Linked DNA regions of Neodiprion lecontei. The protein of the gene in region 1 purifies or fractionates together with the protein of each later gene. This does not show direct contact. Links are inferred from orthologs where the notes say so. Each region holds a gene or a part of one and is shown on either strand. Other genes may lie near its edges.

Region 1 (8,441 bases):
ATGCAAAAAGTTCTACTCAGTTTCTTTCATGTACGAATATTTGTTTAAAAATTTTCACAGTCACTGAGATAAAATCTAATAAATATCATTGTTTGATAGACAATTTTTTTTTATACATACTTTTCATTCAATTGAAAAATCTGTACAATTAATAACAAAACTTCACTGGGATTTGGCTAAACATCCTTAGCTAGTACACCAGTGTAAATACAAATAGAATCTATTTTTGTCACATTTTACCCGTTTTTTTTTTCCATTTTAGAAGCAAATATCAATACATGCAGGTGTGGGTATTAGATTTAAAATAATTGCAGCAGAGAATGTTTACTTTGTCTTGAAAATAAATTTAGGACAACTTTTTAGTTCACTTTCAGTACGCTGATACACCTTGATTGGTTGATCTGGACGTAGCTAATAATTGTGAAGCTAAAACGTCCAATAATTGTAAACACAAATCTCGATTAATTTTCTTATTATCCAAAGACCTCATGAGAAATTTAAATGCTTCGCTTGTTTCATTGTCCCCTAAGAATATCTTTATGTGAGGTGGGATTGCTGACATTAATTGTTGTAGTAATTCATCCTGCAGTATATCTAATCCTTTAGTATTTTCGTTACCAGAGCTGGCAAATATGTCCAGATTATCCAAGTGTTTAAAAGATTTGAGAATCGAATTCTGGAACAAAAGTAGACGGATTTTACAGTCAAATCTGATGCCACTTAGCGTAAATGTTAATTAACAATCTGATTTGTCAATAACATTACTTTTAACGTGGTCTCAGCAATATTTCCAAAGAACAATTTGACAGTTCTAACAACAGCTTCTTGTTCTATAACGTTGTCACATCCGGATCCACCCAAAACTTCAGAAGCCAAGTCGACAACTAGTTGCGTTAAAGTTATCTTACTGTCCAGCTCATCAAGTTCTTCTGCAAAAATTAAAATATTATTATTGAAGTTATAGCTGCATTCAATTTAGAACTTCTCAAAGTAGTTACTGCTAATTGATGGAAATTAGATCTGTTCATCGCGTACAATGTTGGAGGTAGGATTACTGACCGTCGTATGGTGTGTTAAAAATTTCCCACCAATGAGCCAGCAGCTCTGAGTCACCGCTACCTTCGACCGATTCGACTGCTTCGTAAGCCGTGTCCACAGAACAGTAGTCCATTCTTTCCGCGACCAATTGCTGCAATTCTCGAGCTAAATTCTGCTGATTTTATAATAAAAGTTATTGGCAGTAGTGGAAATATATTATTGGATAGAACTTTGGAAGACACTTGAAACTCACAGATTTTAAGTCCTCAACAAACCGCCACGGAACATCAGCCAGTGACATTAATGTCGGCATCGGCATCACTTCTATTTCTGTATCCATTTCAAAACCAGGCACAACAGTTTTCAAAGTATTGAATACTCCGCTTACGGTTTTAGCCAAAAATCTATCTAGGCGTGGTGCCACTGTGTCCGCTTTTTTATTACTGCTGCTGCTTGGCCTCAAAAAGTGACGTAATTGTGGTGGATAATCGGCAGCTAAACGAGAGCAAACTAGTTTTAAATAATTTTCCATCTCCACACGTCCGCCTTCTGGTAAAGTTATGTTTGATATTGCAACCGCCAATGATGGAACCTGAAGTTAGATATTTGAATGCTTTTTACGTCTGTGTTTCAGCGATTATTAAGCATGGTTGTATGTCAGTTGATAATTACTTCTGCTAGACTAGCGTGAAGTTGTACAAAATCTGAGTACTGCCTCTTAACGGTGGCTGTAGTAGTTTCAAATAAGTGTGATCCATGCTGTTCTATGTCGTCAAACTGTATGCAGTACAGGAGCTGCTGAGAGCCATCGGGTGCCGTATGAAACTCTGTCCAAGGAATAGTTAAGTGGCTGCCTTCGTAAACTGTGCAAGACTTTTCCTCCAATTGTCTGCAATTAAATTTAGTAGAAGCTTCGGGATTATTTTTTTATTAGCTTCCAAATTAAGATTTTGCATGAACCTGGAGAAGCGGCCAGGTCTGAATTAAACTGGTTGAAAAAAATACACATTTACAATGGTGTTGAGGCGTTGGATTTTTGGTGCAAAAGACTTCGCAGTCTGGCGATAGTCGTTGCAAAATCAGTTGGTTCTTCATAAACCGGAGACAATCTGTCTTCCTCTGGTTCAGAATCAGGTTCAGATATTTCAACATTAGCCCACAATCCTCTGTGACTTATTTCTAAGCCCTCCAAACTCAGAGCAGCTTTCCTTTCCATTGTGCTTTGTGCATTCTGATTGTTATCTTTGAAATCTGGTGAAATATCAGCACCTTGACCAGCTTTAGGTAAGGGACGCGATATCGCTGCAGCTGTTGTGGAACGTATGGCATCACTGAGTGCCGTAGACACAACACTCTGAAAAGATTCGACTTTGATGAGTATGATTTGGATTAAAGGAGATCCCCAAATAAATAGAAAGAAGGTATTACCACCTCGCTAGCCGAAGCACATTTCTCATTTTTTACTGGTTCTGAGCTAATCGCTCTTACAATTTCTTCTAAAATCCACTCTGGCGAACTTATGCTTTCTATTCCTGTGAGCAATTTTTTAGCCAGTATTGAAAATAAGAGTTTACAAGGTAACGAACTAGTCAATTCCCATTGTAAAAATTCTCTTGCCAATACAGTGACCACTCGATGAAGACTGTGCTCTAACGCCGCTAGGCTTCGCGAACCCGGATGAACATAGCGATAGGCTTCTTCGATGTCTAGTGCAGTTCCCTTCTCAACACGACGCAGCGCTCTGATGAAAGGAATAACAACATTGCAGTAAATCGTTAGTTTCCTAAGTGAGACTGCAATGAAAACGAAGCTAGGTGAATCAGTAATTGCAGTGCATAATTATACAATGTTTAACATGTGGATCATTACCTACGATATTCCTTCAAATGCAACAAGAATATATTGCCAATTTTTCTAGCCAATTCAATTCGATCAATTCGTATCAATTGATGATTGAATTTAAGAATCAGATTTTCGAGCAACTGTTTGGACTCGTTAGGAAAAGCATCGTCATTGCTCACATTTCTGTACCAAATTTTAACAAAGTTCGCATCAATATCGTTTATAACTTTTTCCACATTTATTTTTTCCACAAAAGTTACAGGCAGGTCCTGTTCTAAAACAGATCCATCATCTAAATTTCCATCAGCCCTCAGGTCTCTGAGAAGATTATTTATCTCTGTGTTTTGTCTGTCTATCTGATTTTCGTCCTTCGTTTCTTCATCGTTATCGACACTTTTAACTACCGGTTTTTGTGGCTGATGACTACTACCTGTTTGGTCGTTTTTCATCCATCCCTGAGCCCATTTGTTGAAAGGTTCAGTGGTCAAAGGTGCGTTGACTTTGAGCATTAATCTCAATACGAAACAGCTTAGCCATATCGATATAGTGATCACAAAAATTGCCCAAGATATTAAAAAATGAAGCGGCACAGTAAGATGAGCGACGTGTGTTTGAATCGTCATGCAAATTGTAACAGAGAAAAGACTGATCAATAAAATACGATTTGACCAGCTTATCGAGAATACTTTCTCCATATTTATTTTCGTTAGTTAACCACTTTCTGCTTCAATTGTTTCTACAGATAAGTATCATTTTTGGTGTTGCGTGTTGCACCTCGTGTTACTTTGAAGTCTTTGATATATTTCACAATCTTTTTCTCTAAATATAAAAAAATGTCGTCCAACTTTCGTTCAGGTCGTTGCAACAACGATGAATATTCTTCTCTGTCATTCCTGCCATAACGTCTATATTTTCACGCGTATAATGACACATGATTAACGAACCTCATCGATGATTACTGATCTTATCTCTTGTGCTCACGTTGACAGTAGTTGACAGTTGTGTGACAGGAGCCGACGGATCTCGCAATTTTTTTACTACAGTGTGTTCCGGAATACATTGAAAAAAGCGGCAATCACGCGTCGCGGCGACCTCTGGTGGATATTCAGTGAACCTTTTGTCGCTACCGTAGTGACTCTAAAGTTTAATTCCGCAAATCCCGCCACCGTTACGCATCAGCTAATTTTCTTCAATTTTTTCCACACGATAATCGAATAAATAGAATTCAAAGTGGAGTAATTTTTTTTTGAAAAAACAATATGAAGATAGCAAAACAAGCTGCAGATCAATCGGATCAATCGACACTCAGCAAAGCCGTTAAAAATGTGAAGCAAAAACTTTTAACGGTATGTTTCGAATGTATCCAAACACGTGTTTAACATAACCTATAAATCTGTTGCGCATTCGGCAACTTATCCAGTCCAATCAAGTCTGCTATTTCGGTCAGCCGATAGTTGAAACTGACACTCGACGATTTGTCATTTCAGAAACCTAAAAAACCCGAAGCTATAATTCCTATCGAGAACAGCGATGTTCCATCGTCAACTGAATCAGTTTCGCTTAATAGAGGGATTGTTTATCTTGGGCACATTCCTCATGGGTTCTTCGAAGAACAAATGATTAGCTATTTCAAGCAATTTGGGAAGGTTACCAGAGCTAGAGTGGTTAGATCTGTAAAGGTAGATATCTGGGAGCCTCGTTTTCAACGATCTTATTCTTTCAGTATATAACCAAACAACATTGAAGTTGCAAACACGTATTTTCATTCATTTCCATCTTGTAGACCGGTAGAAGCTGTGGTTATGGGTACATAGAATTCATGCACAGCGAAGTGGCAAAAATTGCTGCACAGTCTATGAACAACTACCTGATGTCTGGAAGACTGCTAAAAGGTAGATTAGTTTTGATAGGAAAATTCAAGTTCATTTTATAAGCAGTAAAGTATCGACGTTTTCTTAACTGTTGTTATTCCGTAAAATGTTTTCAGCGACGTACATTCCGCCTGAGAAACAGCATGGGCGTTATTTCGCAGGGCGTCCATGGAGTAAGCAACAATTTCCTCGATCAGTGAAAAGAAAGGAACAGAATATGCGAAAAAACCAAAATGTGGATAATAGTGTTGACAGTATGCTGGCTCAGCGGAAAATGAAAAAAATTTCTGTTATGGAGAAAAAACTTGAGCAGGCAGGAATTTTCTATAAGATTAAACCCGTTGAAGTACCCGAAGACACGCAAGTTAAAAAGAGAAAAAGCTCTGCCTCTCGACCAGCTTCAACAGGAACGAAAAAGATAAAAACTTCCAATGGTACGGTAGCGAGTGAAATTGACGCTGAAGATGGTTCTTTACAAAAAGTGGAGAAAAAAGCAGTTGTCAAGGAACCTGCGATTAACAAGACGAAGAAAAAGAACAAGTCAGAATTGAAACCGGCTGACGAGGTTGCCGTAGCTATCAAGGCTAGTATTTTAGCAGTTCCAAAACCGAAGAAGAAAATTTCTACATGCACAGTTCAAGTACCCGAAATAAGCTTGCCAAAAAAATCTAAGAAGAAAATGGCAGCTGATTCCGTTCCTATTAAGAAGAAGAAAGAAGCAGTGTTAACTGAATTACTTGTAGGTAAAAAATTGAAGGGAAAAATTGAGTCGATTGATCATCCGCCTACTGCTAAGAAGCTGAAACAGCAAGTGGAAGTGATTGATCATCCACCAACTGTTAAAAAGACAAAACAGAAAGTACAAAAGAATATCCCTGCTGCAGTGCCGCTCATTGAAAAGTCGGGACAAAAGAAAATTTCTTTCCTAGTACCAACGGTTAAAAAATCCAAAAAACAAATAGCAGCTCAAGTATCGCTGAGCAAGAAAGGGAAAAAGAAAGGTGCAGCGGCATAAATGATGATGCATCGAACTAAGCTGGATTTAATTGTAATTGAGTTTTTCAGCAATTGTGACGGATCGAGTTTTGGTTTACTTTATGTTTCGTGAAAATGATCGATTAGATCAATGGAACTTTTACCTCATATACGATTTTAGAAATCGTAAATAATTTTTCCTACGATCCTTGGAATGGATTGTACATACAGCTCATGTATTTCATCACAGCGTTTAATAAACGAAGTATGCGTAATCTGTGATTTTGCGAAAGAATTATTTTATACAAACGTTCTGCACAGAACGTTGAATAAATCTTAGTTAAAGATAACAAATAGGGCCTGGATTAATATGTAAATATATATTTTGTTTATTTAAATCAATTTTATTCCTTATTTCGTTTTTTACATAAAGTATGGAGTTTGGTGCTAAAAAATACAGTTTATATGTTCCATATTTTAGTTTGTCAAGTATATTATATAATTATATTTTGAAAATTTTAATACATATTTATCACGGCCCTGATAATAAATCTTTTAGAAATATTTCAAGAATTTATTTTATGCTCCGGAAATCGATAAACCTTTGATATTGTCGATAAATTTATTCGCTTTACTGTAAACTAGCGAATAATATTTACAATTTAGTTATTTCTTCTAATTAAAAACAAATTTTATATAAATACGTAATGTATTGTATATTTTATTATATATCCACTCCGCTGGTCAGAATTAATCATAATTTTTTTCCGCGGTTCTGAGATAAGGGGCACCCTTTCGTTCGTTTCCATTTCATACGTCTGTTTTGAAACCAAACTTTGACCTGAAAAAAATGGATGAGAGTTGAATAACCCTATCATTCAATGTCGCGTGAACAGTTATTAACTGCACCTTGTTTAATAATTTTTGTGAATTATTCAAACATGGCTCGAGGCTTTATTCAATCATTCATTCGAAGTGATTTACATAAATCGTATGAATTAGTTGAATAATTATGAAAATAAACGTTAACAAAGAATTACCTGCCGCTCCGTTAAATCTAAAGCCACGGCAATTTCGTATCTCCGAAGTCGGGTGAGATAATTCATGTGCGCGAATTCGTACTCCAAGTGACGAACTTGTTGTTTAGTAAATGCTGTTCTTTCCTTGCGTGGTTTTTCCGTCGCGGTTCCGCTCAGCCTTTTACTTGCCTCTGAAATAATTGAAAGAGTTTATTTATCTTCATCGAATAAAATATAGGGATTATGCTCTGGATATTTGTCACGAAGTAAATTTGTAGAAGCTGGTGTTAAGTTCGATACACTCGAAAGAAAAAGACGAAGATAAATGGGAATTTGATTGTTTATATACCCACTTAAATTACGTCGATCAGGGGATAGGGTTCAAATTCCGAAATTAAAAAGTGTCGAAAGCGTGTAATTCCGAATTCTTTTGTTGCGAAATATGTAGTCAAGAAATCAAACTTTGTACGAAACATCGAGGTTTCGAATGCTCTGAAACCTGACGCTCAAAGTTCCGAAAGGATAAAATGCTGGAAGGGCGTAACTATCGCAAGTTTACTTTTCGGAACTTTGTTCTATCGTAACATGAATTTTCGGAATCTTGCATAATTCGGAACTTTGATCAGTCGATTTTCCGACCATTCGAAACTTTGTTGTTTCTTCAAAGTTTGATTACTTCACTTCTGTTATCGCCACCAAATAATTCGGAATTAACGCCTTTCTAAACTTTTCAAATTCGGTATTAACTGCGTAATTTCGTCCTGTCCAAAACGCGAAAATGAAGTAATCCTGCAATATTCCGATGGCCTAATTAACACGTCTCGTCGTACGGAATGAAAGGACGATGCACATATAACGCGGAGGGCGTCGCAAAACCGTGAATTTTTGCCCGTCGGCAATCTTTTTGCCGTCGGAGATGAAAATAACTGCATCTCCGATGCGTCATATACGATGACGTTCTCCTTGCGGCGCCGCGACGAGAGAAAGAAAGAGAGAGCGAGAGTGGGAGACGGACATATATACATACCTATATAAATATACATATATAAGGGGCGATTCGCACCACTTGAAATGTGGGTTGGCTAGAATCGCGGATCTCCTGCCGAACGTTGCATCATCTCCTGAGTGCATACACGCATCTGCAATGTGCACACATATGCATTGGCGGTATACGCGATGCGTTCGCTTGTGATGCGCGGCTTCCGTGCCGCTATCTCGTCACCCTTTCGGCGATTTGCTCGATGACGTCAGCATGCGTACAATAAATACAGGCGCGCGATTTGATACGTTGGAATCGTGATTTTATTCTATCAACGTATAGTGTATATATGGTATATACAGGTGTGTACATACGCGTGTGATTATACGCATCGATTAAAGAAAAGCTAAACTTTAACCCTTTTTATATCGAATATTATGTATCACTGTTCAAAATTATTGTGAATTTACAAAGCGTTTACTGTACAAAAGAGTTGCAAACTTACAAATTCGATGCATCGATGCAAAACTATTATGTATTTTTTTTTTATGTCTGAAATTTACGATGAAAATTTTCGTTCTTACTAAAATTTGTAGAAAAAATAGAAAAATTGGTAATTTGAATTTACTAAAATGTGTAGTAAAGTTATTGTATTTGTAAATCGAATGAGAAGTAAATGCATGGTATTCGAATAAAACTTCCGATACAGCTTAGGAT
Region 2 (7,087 bases), on another chromosome or scaffold:
ATTAAGAATTAATTATCGAAAATTTTCATTTTTGTGATATCTCGGTAGGACTGTAGAATTTGAGAGTTTTATTTGTTTAAGATTTGTTTACTACACTGCTTTTACACGATTTATGTTTTGCTGATACTTTTATGAGAGAGATCTGGGGTTTATTTTTATACAAATGTGAAGCAAGTAGAAAACAGCAAGGACGTCATTATTTTTTGAAATTAGGTAAACAATGCCAACTTATGAACTATATGTATTCTCTAGAGTGAGAAAACAAAAACTAGCGGTATCAGTGATAGCAACAGGGTTTTGGTATGTTTTTATTGCAATCACAGTGAAAATACAGCGTAAAAAAATTCCTAACTACACCTCGAAATCTAAGTGTAACTTCAGTTCAATTTCAGCGAGACGAAATCTGCCAGGGTTTAAACCATTAAAGCACAGAGTGGGTCATTCTGACTCATACTCTTTTCTTCTGTAACAGTAATTCTTCAAAAATTCCTTTTTATTCAGATTTTTAAGTCATATTTATAATTCTAAACTACGCTATCATATTTTAAGATAGTGAAAGTATGCCCCTGAATCTTTTCAGGTAGATCGCACTCGTATATTTGAAATGGTGCATAAAAAATTAGACAAAATCATTTTGACCCAGAGTGTTGTCCATGATCGAAGAAATAGGTACGTTCTCGATGAGTTAATTGTTGCGGACTAACGCGACCATTTGCTTCTGGGCGATTTCTGTCTCATTATCGCGATTAGTGAACATTGGAATCTCACACAAGACCGGTAATACAGAGTTGCAATTCCAAGGGCCTACTCCCTTTCCATCACTAAATATTGCCCCACATTGCCCAGATCCTAGGTCTGGTCTCCACGGTATAAAATTCAGCGGTTGACCTAGAAAAATATACGGTCGAATATGCTGGACAATATAAGTAGCATCAGAAATTAGTTAGTTTTATCTAAACCTTACCAGTTTTAACACTGACCCATTCGACATTATCGAACAATCTATGAATACCCACGTGTGAACCAAGTCCTTTCATGCTCGCTACGTAGTCGTTCTTTTTGAAGGAGTCGATGACGGCCAAGTTCCCACCATCAGCGACACACAGTTTTCTTCCCGTGTTCCACGTGACTTGATTTTTGTGGAGCTTGTAGGCTACTCCGACATCTGGAAACGCGGTATAACCCGCTGGTAGAACAGTGGGTTGATTCGGCGCTGACGTGTAATCTTGAATGAAACAAAAAGTTTTTACCAATCAATCACTTACGCAGAGGATAGTATTACTCTTTTTAATTTTTCACACTCCTCCTACCAAAACTATTATTCCCGTAGCTCAAATTACCATTACTATACAGCTGGCAAGCGAGCTGAAGAGGCAGAGCAACTAGCAGACCGGACATTTTGTTAACGTATTACTTACACCAGATTAATTTACTCTGGCAGCTTGCCTCGTAATTTTGAACTGCAATCGTGGAATAATATTATATCTGTTTACTTTAAAATAATCTCTGGCCTTATCACCAGTGATAAATTTATTTTGCTCGACCTGACCTGCGTGGGGAATTACCACTGATTAGTTTCAATACTTGATACTATATATATGGGGAAAAAAATATTCTGACCTTCAATCCAACAAGATCATTTACTGTTATTTGATTCGCAAAACTAATTCCCTTCACGTGTGAAAATGGTTCAACAATTCTAACAAGCAGAAAATGTTTAATGTTTCAGCAATTTTATAAAATCATCCCCGATAGAAATAAAAGAGCATATTCTCGACGAATACGCAACAAAAATGCATCACCCGCAGCTAGCATGTTGCCTCAAATTTGTGGCCACAATAATATAGCAACACCGTGGACACGGAGGGTAGCAAATATCCAGTAAAGCGTTAGTCGTGTAAACTTTTTTGTATAATTATAGTCATATATTTTTTATACATAAGTACTTTCGATTGACATGTGTAAGATTTGTATTGTGATGCATTTCCACAACGGTCATTGTATGAAACATGTATTATATTGTATAATATCAATGTTGAAAATATCTATACACATAGAGAGATACGTATGCATTCCTATGTAATATGCCGGCCATAGCTGCTCTCCGCTTACGTCAATCCTCTGACACAATACAACACTAACTGATTTCATTGGCTTATTCCGTTAGAACTGACCAATCAAATGGCTCAGTGTTGAATTGGTTGCGTGCGAAAATTGACGTCAAAGAAAGGCGGTCAATATGAGAGGAGATGGGAGAACTCACAGAAATAGAATAAATCCGTCAACTTTTTTTCCCTTCTGCATTCACGGAAAAAATTTGAAATGCAAAAGAGATGGCAGATATGGTTCTTCCTCTACGTTTGTGACAATCCGCGTTCGCATACGACGCCCATTGTGAACTGTTGTAAACTAGGCTTTATATAGACGCAATCACGGAGTTGCCAATTGGTGGTTTCCGCTCTATTCTTGATCATTATTAGCTCGGACAAACAAATGTATGGCATTGTCTATGCAAGGGAGAGCATTTGAGCAGTTAATGAAAAGGTCAAAAACTCTTGCAATTATGGATTCCTACAGTGATTTTTGCATTTCCCTGTGGCGATTTTTCTCAATGAAAAAATTTTCAAGTGATTTTAAAAATCGCGAATCCCGGTGGTTCATGGCGGCCATTTTCAATGTCCATTGACCACGGCGGCCTCTTTTTCCGGTTCCACTTCACGTAGGACGCACGGAACAATGAAGGCTAAGGGAGAAGTGAGTAAATTTTCACAATTTTTGTTAGAATCATGCAAAAATAGACCTGCAACTAAGCCTGTAGAACATTACTTCACCAATATGTCGAATTGCGACTGTATCTATCCAACACGAGTCGAATTACCAACGAATATACAGATTTTTGACCGCGACGGCATGGCAACCGACACATGTGGGTTATCGTAGTCTTTTCTTACAACCAACTTTATGACACCGATTGATTCGAAGTGTTACTCGGCTTATTTTGTCCCATTTTAGCTGATTACTTCATCACATTTTTAGCTACTCTCAAGACTTTCTTCAGTCTGCGATTCTATTTTAGGTTATATTACATCAGTAAATTGAGAGTAACGCACTCATTGTCACAGCCTCATCATTCCGCTCCATTATGTTATCAATTAATATAAGCTCGTTTCTATTCACAGTTGAAGGAATTCGAGGTGATCGGGCGTAAGCTCCCCACAGAGAAGGAAAAGGTAACCCCATTGTACAAAATGAGGATATTTGCTCCTGACGCTATCGTGGCCAAGTCTCGATTTTGGTATTTCCTCCGCCAGTTAAGGAAATTCAAGAAAACGACTGGAGAAATTGTTAACCTCAAACAGGTAAAGTAAAAATTTTGTTTTGGAATAAAGATGCAGTCGTTACAATTCTGATAAAACAGATTGTCATTGATTTTGTATTCTTTGGAATTAGAAATCTGCTAGGTTATATCGCACCCTTGTGTTCACTTGATTACGTCAAATTACAAAGTTTATAAAGTGAAGATATTTGTACATGCCGAGTACAATTTTGATTTATGTATTTACTTCAGCTGTCACCAATATTTACAGTAAATATAAAGTTTTTGGTTGGTAAATCTGTGGATATTTGCAAGTTGAAACACTGTATTTAGGTTCAATTCCAAAACTGCCTCTATAAGTTGACATTTTTCATGTGAAAAACGTAAAAAGTTTGAGGAAATTATAAATTCTGAACTGAGTTACTTTCTAAATAACGTTTTCTTGACTTTGTGATTAATATTAAAAATTAGGTGTACTCCTTACTATATATCCTGATAAGATATGATTGCCGAAATTCACAGTGCATTTTAGATATTGATTTAATTTATCAATTTTTAGATCGCAGAAAAAACTCCGATAAAAATAAAGAACTTTGGTATTTGGTTGAGGTACGACTCCCGTTCCGGAACTCACAACATGTACAGGGAATACCGTGACTTGTCAGTAAGCGGAGCTGTTACACAGTGCTACCGTGACATGGGGGCTCGTCATCGTGCCAGAGCTCATTCCATTCAGATAATCAAAGTCGAGGTTGTAAAGGCTGGAAACTGCCGCAGACCTCAAGTCAAGCAGTTCCATGATTCCAAAATCAGGTTCCCGCTGCCCAAGCGTATTCAACACCGCAACCGTATGCCTCTATTCAGCGTACGCAAACCACGCACCTATTTCCTTTAAGCAATTTGCATTTCTTCGGTGTATTCATTTGAGAAATATAATCACTTATAAGGGAAATAAACATTTTTAAACTATCCTATTCATAGCCTCGTTTTCTATGCAAACTTACTAATAATTATATTAGTTCATCTGAAATTATTCTTTCCGTCTCGATTAATATATAGATTACAGAGCTGAATGTGTGTTGACCATTTTTTTAATACTTTTTATCTGTGAGAGGTTTTTGGAACCCAAGAAACTGGATTAGACTGCAAGACATTTTTTTAAATCACTGCAATTCATCATTTGGAACTTGGGCAACGTAATTACCGAATGATCATTAGCGTTTCCAATCCAGTTCTCACTTCACTTTAATTAGAAACAATTTTCAACGGCTCAATTTGATCGGGGATGATAAATAGCTGTTTAAAACATAAATATCAAATTATTCAAGCTAGAATGAGATTTTGAAAGAAATGTAGAAAAGTCGTCAGAGAAAAAACTGCATTACCTTGTTTGGGGACAGAGAACAGAAAACTAAGGTAGGTAGTGATAGGTGGTAGTCGACTGCACGACTGATTACATGAAACATGTGAAGTGAAACTCATTAATTTTCGTAGATATTGTACTGGATCCATATTTCGTAATCAGTTCAAAACGCTACAAATTATAATCTTAAAATAATACGCTTTTTATATAACAGCACTTGTATCTTCGGCCTGATTCTGACATTCGCGAAAATATTTTCAATTTAAAATTGCCTTCTGATCGGTCTAGATGGCGCTTAGCGCCGTTTTTACGAGTGAAAAATAAGTCTTGAATCACTGATATTACACAGATCAGTGGTCTGAATCAAGGGCCTGATCTACATGAATACACCAATTGTCATTGGTTGTAGGGTTGCCCAAGATCGATCAATCGATGAACTCCAGTGATGAACTCTTAAGGCCGTGTTCGTAAATTGACTGCCAGTACTAAAAACAGAGATGAGTAGGGAGATCTCCAACGCTCGGCTTTTCGTGATACCAGCTAGGTTGGAGCGTCGACGTGACACCTAGGCGGCCACGCACCGAAGGTGGCCCATTTCCGACCTGACACCTAGGCGGCCATGCACCGAAGGTGGCCCACAATCGTGCATATATAGATATACTCGGTCGCTCGAGCAAGCGGTTGCCAATCGCATCCTTGTCCCCGCTCGCACAAATGTTTCCAGGAATGCAAGAATTGGGATTTTTTTGTTTCAATTATGAATGTCAGCGAATAAAAGTATCTCCAGATTTGATAAATTTTGGATTCAATTAGCGGACGTTGAACCAAAATAATTAACCATTCCCAGCCCGAATACTTTTTTTTTTTTTTTTTCTAATAAATATTATTTTTTTATTGATGTGAAAATATGTGACGCCTGGTGTTCTCGAATATTTGTATACGCAGTCTATGGAAAAATATACGAAGCCAGCTCGATAACATTTATGCAAAATGTGCAATGGGCAAGTGGTTGGAGGAAATTTTTTTTTTCTCGAACTGAATCTTCCAGAGAACCATCAGCGAATTCCAAGCAAGCTCCATAAACATACCGAGCAAACGCGCGATCACGGACGTAGCTGTGGTGTGGCTGAGTGGATACCACATGAGGATGAATTTTCAATGACAGGTTTTTGCGCGAAGTTTTCCTGTATTTAAGTTAATTACTGCTGCCTTTGCTATAATACTGCATTCAAGTCTTAAACAAAACACTAAAAAATTGGTTAACCAATTAATGTAAAACAACATGTTAGATTGAGCTTAAAATTTAAGCCGGAGTTACATAAACTAAGATAATTACAAGTGCAATATTGTAAATTTGAGCATTTATTGTTCATTTAAATAAATATGGTTTCCTCCTCAAAAAAAAAAAAAAAAAAAAACATGAGGATGGAGTGATGCGGGACACGGGTTCGATCGCAGTTCACTCTTTTTTTTTTTATTTTTAAATTCAATCCCGGCTTTTTTTTTGTATTTTCGGAGAGAAAAAACAAATCAAAGAAAGAAAATTTCGAGAGCCGGTCGATTTTTTCCTTCTTTCCTTTTGCTTTTTTTTTACTGAACCCACCTTTTTTGTAGTGGGGGTAACCCAGAAGAGAACAAATAATTGAAACAATAAAATTCCGAGAGCGAATCGATTTGTTCCCCGTTTTTGGCGCCTCTTTTTTGACAAGGAAAAGTTTTGACAGTAATGTAAAATAGAGATTACTAAACACAAATGTATTGTTTTTTAATAACACCGGCCCACAAACAAAAAAGTGGTCTGTACTTTTGACCGGACCTACCTATCTTTATGTATTTTGACGCGCTGAATCCGAATCTGAAGTCAGTTTTGCCCGTACACCCTCAAAATTTTGAGTAAATTGCAAAAAACCATAAAAATCGCCAAAAATTAGCATTTTTGGTAAGAAAAAAATTTATGGAAGTATAGACCAAGTATGATTTTTATGCATTTTGGTCCGCTAAACCCAAATCTGAAGTTTATTCAACCATAAGCCTTTTAAAATTTAATTGGGCCGGTGTTATTAAAAAACAATACATTTGTTTTTAGAAATCTCTATTTTCCAATACTGTCAAATCTTTTCCTTATTAAAAAAAAAAACGCCCATTTTATATCAGTCTTGACGAGCATTTCTTAAGAAGTTTGAGAAATGCGAGATCGGAACGACAAAATTATTTCAGTAGCAACAATGTATGGACCCCTCTCCTTTTCTGATATTGGTAGCCAGTTAAGAGGCTTCACAGTGTTCAGTTTAGTGCCAGCAGCTCTCGAGGTAGCAAGATGGTAAGTGAATTACATAATTATTTTACATGTGTGGAAAAACCGGCAGGTTTGACGATCGTCTATTTACTTTATAGATTAAGAAGAGAAA

Evidence for each region.
Region 2: the proteins of MKI67 FHA domain-interacting nucleolar phosphoprotein-like (region 1) and 60S ribosomal protein L18a fractionate together in Homo sapiens (co-fractionation; 3 studies listed by BioGRID and IntAct, with this or other methods). This does not show direct contact. The link is inferred for Neodiprion lecontei from reciprocal best matches to the Homo sapiens genes NIFK and RPL18A.

Annotation. Positions count from the first base shown.
Region 1 is NC_060260.1:4,668,795-4,677,235, reverse strand, and holds MKI67 FHA domain-interacting nucleolar phosphoprotein-like, read left to right. Parts: upstream 1-4,022; 5' UTR 4,023-4,139; coding exon 4,140-4,226; intron 4,227-4,367; coding exon 4,368-4,559; intron 4,560-4,663; coding exon 4,664-4,772; intron 4,773-4,867; coding exon 4,868-5,766; 3' UTR 5,767-6,001; downstream 6,002-8,441. Other genes in the region: uncharacterized protein LOC107226332, read right to left, coding at 371-676, 766-929, 1,060-1,213, 1,292-1,630, 1,711-1,927, 2,052-2,392, 2,470-2,779, 2,908-3,575.
Region 2 is NC_060266.1:18,811,509-18,818,595, reverse strand, and holds 60S ribosomal protein L18a, read left to right. Parts: upstream 1-2,608; 5' UTR 2,609-2,736; coding exon 2,737-2,754; intron 2,755-3,179; coding exon 3,180-3,359; intron 3,360-3,875; coding exon 3,876-4,211; 3' UTR 4,212-4,290; downstream 4,291-7,087. Other genes in the region: uncharacterized protein LOC107225246, read right to left, coding at 686-888, 965-1,225, 1,311-1,398.